Xenopus tropicalis: one gene and its partner. The protein of the gene in region 1 purifies or fractionates together with the protein of each later gene. This does not show direct contact. Links are inferred from orthologs where the notes say so. Each region holds a gene or a part of one and is shown in the gene's direction. Other genes may lie near its edges.

Region 1 (2,507 bases):
ACAACAAAGGCCTGTTTTTTCAGAGCTAGTAGAGCATTTAGGAAATCTGTTGCAAGCCAGTGTGCAACAGGTAAGTCAATACATGGCATACAGTACACCTGTTTATGGCATTTGAAAACATATTAAACTTTGTCCAGAAAGTATATCTTAACCTGTAGTTAATGGACTCATTTGAACAGTGAAGAAATGATTTTGGGCAATTGCAAAACCATTACCTTTTGATAAGCAAACACATGCTGTCTGCTTCCTTCAGAGTGACTCAGTACTTCCCATTGATGTTAGTGGCAATTGACTAGCAATGGATAGGGATCGGCTTGATCACTGTTACAAAAAGCATTGAACAAAATGCCCAGGGTTTTCTAACCTTTTATATGTAAAAGTGTAGGGGCACTCTATGTGGGTAGGGGTTGTCTTTATCACCTCTTCAGTAAACCAAATGCCCAGGGTTCTCTAGCATTCATAAGGAAGGGTATAAAAGATTTTAAAAGGGTGTAATTTCAAAAAAGCCCACTTATCGGGATTCAGACATGTGCCATGCATAATACCTTTACGTACCAAATAAATGTTCCCAAGCCCCAGGCAGTCAAGTTAATCTTAGGTGTATGTTGTTTGGTTCTTTACAAATTTGGGGAGTGCCTTGTATGTTTAAGGGGAACAATAATGGGTAATGTGTTACTATTGCAATACATATATTGTGACTTTCTTAGAAGCGTTATCTTACGCAGCATAAACCCGATAGTACCTGAGAGTGTGGAATAGTTTATGTTACAATTGAAAGCATAGTTGTTGTACTGTATATTTTAACAACATTCTGTTATTAATATGGAATCCTTTATTTTCAAGGATGGAAAAGACTATATTCCACTTACAGTATCTTTAAACATTGAAGATGATTCTGGCCTCTCTGTGCCAACTTCACCTGTTTCCTGTATGGAGGAAGAGGAAGTTTGTGATGCAAAATTCCATTATGATAACACAGCTGGATTAAGGTACTATCCTATATATAGAATACACATCATACATCACACAACATCCCAGTTAACAGCTGGTTTGACATTTTTTCATGTGTACATGAAAACAGTGGATTGAGGTTAATTTTTGTATACACAATAATACCGTCTTGTATTTTCTACTGCGGTCTTGCTCTTATGCATAATCTTTGAATTTTTGCTTGCATTGTCCAAACTCAAAAATGTGGGATTTATAGCAAGTCATGCAACTCATTCTGAAATAACTCATATATACAATATACCTAAGGTGTGGCCTTGGATTATTTAGAGTGGAAATCTGTCCTAGTTATTTGAGAACAGTGAGATTATGACATTACTGCCTTCACCTTTTATCATTTTTAACAGTATAATATTTTACTCCAGGTTCCTTCACAGCAGCAGCAAGAGACAGAGCCGTCCTGTTAGTGTCAAGACATTTGAGGACATTCCTGTAGAGCCTGCAGTGAAAGCCATTCAAGATGTAAGCCTGTCTCTCCCATTAGCTTAACACTCCTACACATCTGCACCTTTTGCTTTCCCACAATACATCATGCTCCCAAGGCCAGAAGCGGAACAGCAACAGAAGTAAACAGAGATCATGCATGAACAACTTTGTGATTATGCTCTGTCAATCAGCGATCAATGATGCAATTATGTCTGTTCAGTTACAGTTCAGTCCATCTCACAGAGGTTGCAACACACATAATAGGGCATATGTACATTCACATTCACTCAGAATCCCAGCATCATTGTGGTCGCCCAGGGGTCAATGCAGTTGGCACAATTACTTTTGGCCAGTTGCATCCCAACTGCATTTTGTCACAAATCAGATGCAAAAATTCATCTGGCATCATTTCCAGTGTTCGGCATGAGAGTGACACCTGTGCCTTATATTAAGGCACAGGTGTGCTGCTCCTATTGACACTGGGTACAAAGCCGGTGGTAGTTCCTATGCTCACCTGTGTCAATAGGTGCAAAATCGCTCAATTTGGAACAGAAGGCAGAAACGACTGAACAGTGCTGAGCACAATTATACAGAAGGCAAGAAACACATTTTGAAGCAAGTACCTATAATTAAAGTAGTTTTATGCACAACTGACTAGGGGGAAGGTGTGGGGGCCACAACTGCACATGCCAAATCCTGCCAGTGGTTGCAAGCTAAGGATGGCAATTACGATAAATCTGTATTTCTTGTTTTAGGAGAGCCAGACAGACAGTGGAATGGTTCTTGCATCAGAAGAGCTGAAAACACTGCAAAACAGAACTGACCAAACACAGTTTTTTAGGTATGTAATATCAAATACTGATATATATATGTATTTATACATAAATATAATAAATAATGTACCATCTATTGTAAAATTATAAGCCAGGGAGGAGATCAATGACAAGGTGACTTTAGTATAATTTCTCGCAATTATATTTTTTAGCATTTTGAAGCAGAGTAAAAGCAAGGAATCCGTAACATCAGAGTCTTCGAACCAAACTAGTGATTGCCAGTCGGGGTACCATTCTGAT
Region 2 (3,500 bases), on another chromosome or scaffold:
ATCAAATAATATGCAGATTTAAAAATGTAATTCTGACAAGAATGATTGTATTTCTAAATGGTATTGATCCTTTTACATCTATGAAATCTTATACAGTAAATCTGAATGAATCATGACAGATGCCATATTATAAAAGTTCTTATAAAATCAGTGCCCAGTGATGTATATAAATAAAGGATAATAAATCATATAAATAAATAAGAATATATTTAGGGTTTTTGTGTATTATATAGTGAAAAATGTACCCCCTTTTGTAAAATACTGTATATGGATATTATAAGTCAACAAGGAGTTCCATGACCATATAAAAGCACAAGGTCGAAGGCTGAGTTTTGTACAGGTTAATGGAACTCATATATATTAGAATGAAGACAAAGATTATATTTTCTTTATATAACAAATACATATATATATATATATATATATATATATATATATATGTATTTTAATAATTTTTCCATCCCTTTAATCCACACAGATGGGCATGGTTATGCTTACTGCAAAAGTTTCCAAACTCTAGGGCTAATACTCCTTAGGTTGACTGAATTCCAAAGAAGGTGATGTTCAGGATAGTTCTAGAATCTTGGCAGGAATACCAGTTAGGAACACATCTCTAAGGAAAACTTATTTGCTTTCAAGATATTCTTGGAACCATAACACACTGACAAGATAATGCTTTCATATATTTGAAACTTATTATAATGTTTGAAGAGTTAATTACATTCTGAACTACAGTACAGGCAAGGCTTCAATACTCTGAAAATCTAAAAACCACTTCCTTACAATATGCATCTGTTTTTGAATATCCTAAACCATTCTTTTGGCTTTCTTTAGTTCAACTGTCAACAAAAAAAAATAATCTACCCGTTAATGTGTTATTCTAGCAATACAAATGTTTATCTTCTCTTTAAACCTGTTTTATGCAGCCCCTGGACTATGAGAGTGTTAAACAATATAACGTGGACATTGAAGCAACAGATCCCCTTATCGACTTACGTGTGGCAAAACAGACTAGGCCCAAGAGTATTACAAACGTCATCATTAATGTCCTTGATGTGGATGAGCCCCCAGTGTTTTCCAAACCATTCTACAAATTTGAAATTTCAGAGGATTCTAAATTAAACAATATTATTGGATTTGTCTCGGCAAAAGATCCCGATGCTGCTAATAGAAACATCAGGTAGAAACATATTTTGAATATTAACATACAGAATAGATTGTGCTTAAATTAGTTCTGTAAACATACAAGGAGACTGCATCAGAGTTTCAGATGAGTAAATTATTGTAATCTATTTTTTTATTGTAACTGCAGATATTCTATGAGAAATTTTAAAGATGAACCAATCAAGGTAACAAACAATGGAAATATTATCAATGTCAAGACGCTTGACAGAGAGACTGCGGATTGGCACAATTTCACTGTGGTAGCTGAAGAAGTTGATCCTAGCAGTAAGTTCTACTCTTTGCTCAGATATTTACCTGTGTTTATATACAAATGCTTCTGGATCCATATTTTATCAGTGGCAATCTTTTAGGGTTTCTTCATCATAGCACAGAATTTCATATACTAGTACATATTGTGTCTGTCCAGAACTATGTATGCTTTTAAATCATGGCTACTGGCATATACTGGAAATATATTACTTACATTTTCTCCAGCAAAATTCACAAATAGTGGCAACAATCTAATGCCTCATATAGAAAAATCTTTGTGTCAGGAAGGAAGAGGAATGAGGCACTGCAAATCTAAAACTTCCTGTAACTTTGTGTACCTTCCAAAAAATGACAGAGAGATGACAGTACAACCCTGATTGATATGGTCAAAAACTTCAAATTAATGGACATGATGATTTGTAACATAATACAATTTAGTACCATGCCTGAAGACCAAAAAAAGGACTGATTAGACATGTTGATTGATTGTTGGAGGCCAGAATAAACAAAAAAACAAAAAAATATTTGAGTAAAATTGTATGTTAATTCTACAATTTGTGGAAAATAGGAATATAGTCCAAATTCCTTAACTGATCTTTTAAAATACTGGCACAATATATAATGAAACAGTATAAACAGTATTTATAAATTCATGCATAATAATAATTATTAATACTACTTGTACAGGTATGGGACCTATTATCCAGAATGCTTGGGACCTGGGGCCTTTCAGATAATAATTTGGGCGATTCCATGATTGGGAACTCCATACCTTAAGTCTACTAAAGAAAAATAAGCAGAAATGTTTTGCCTCCAATAAGGATTAATTATATCTTAGTTTGGATTCATAACAAGGAAATGTTTTATTATTACACAAAAAAGAAAATCATTTTTAAAAATTAGAATTATTTGATTATAATGGATTCTATGGGAGTGGTCTTCCCGTAATTTGGAGCTTTGTGGATAATGGTTTTCATGATAACGGATCCCATACCTGTATTGTTATTATTAAAGCAATAGTACCACATTTTGTCATTGTAAGTGCTAAAAGGTTTATTCTTCATGTAACTTAAATAAAAAGGATATATACTGTATATATATTTTACTGACTAAAATAAAAGTGATGGTTTCCCTTTAAAATCACATCAAAAAGGCTACATTGTGCACTTGCTATACAGGAAGGGGAAATATAGCTTGTTATAAAAGTTTGTGAGTTTTAGAGTAAGTGAGAGGTTTGCTATTTTTGGGAAATGCTGAGTTAACAAGTTAATGAGTTCCCTATATGACTTGCTATATCCCTTTTATATTCAGCAAAGAGAGAGCAACAGAACGGAGCACTATATAAGCTACAGAATGAACATTTGAGTTTTAAGTACAATAACGTCATAGCCGACATCTCATAGAAGTTTGCTCCTTAAATTTGTCTGGACCCAGTTGGTAAAGAAAAAAAACAACCCACTGCCAAAGGGAAACTCCTACTCCAATCACAGATAACAAAAGTCAGCAGTAGACAAACCACCTCCTCTGCATTTTGTGCTTACCTGAGATAAAATTCATTGGGGGTTATGTAATAAAAGGCACTAAGTCTGCCCAGTAGCAGTAACTAATAGCAAGCAATCATCAGGCAGAATCATCAGTCACCTGTTTAAAATTGTATTGGTTGCTATGGGTTACTGCTACTGGGCAGACTAGGGGAGAGATTTACTAATCCACGAACGGTCCGATGGCGTCCAAATGCGTTTTTTTTGTAATGATCGGTATTTTTGCGACATTTTCGTCGGTGTCGCGACTTTTTCGCATGTTCCGCGACTTTTTCGTCGCCATCGCGACTTTTTCGTATATTTTCCGTGACTTTTTCGTTGCCGTTGCGAAAAAACGGATTGGTTTTTCCACAGTTTACAACCGCTCAATACGAAAAAATCACGCCGCCGATGAAATAGTCGCGCAAAATACAATAAAGTCTCGGTGGCAACGAAAAAGTCGCGACAAATACAAAAAAATCACGACGGCGACGAAAAAGTCGCAAAATTTTTGTTTCCAATTGAAACTGGGTAAAATAGCCACAA

The links. The genes of interacting proteins can lie anywhere in the genome.
Region 2: the proteins of kdr (region 1) and cdh5 purify together in Homo sapiens (affinity purification with western blotting; 3 studies listed by BioGRID and IntAct, with this or other methods). This does not show direct contact. The link is inferred for Xenopus tropicalis from reciprocal best matches to the Homo sapiens genes KDR and CDH5.

What each region holds. Positions count from the first base shown.
Region 1 is NC_030677.2:40,282,382-40,284,888, reverse strand, and holds part of kdr (vascular endothelial growth factor receptor 2), read left to right. Parts: coding exon 1-70; intron 71-843; coding exon 844-989; intron 990-1,373; coding exon 1,374-1,470; intron 1,471-2,189; coding exon 2,190-2,275; intron 2,276-2,419; coding exon 2,420-2,507. UniProt on the Homo sapiens protein: Tyrosine-protein kinase that acts as a cell-surface receptor for VEGFA, VEGFC and VEGFD. Plays an essential role in the regulation of angiogenesis, vascular development, vascular permeability, and embryonic hematopoiesis.
Region 2 is NC_030680.2:57,844,536-57,848,035, forward strand, and holds part of cdh5 (cadherin-5), read left to right. Parts: intron 1-926; coding exon 927-1,180; intron 1,181-1,312; coding exon 1,313-1,449; intron 1,450-3,500. UniProt on the Homo sapiens protein: Cadherins are calcium-dependent cell adhesion proteins. They preferentially interact with themselves in a homophilic manner in connecting cells; cadherins may thus contribute to the sorting of heterogeneous cell types.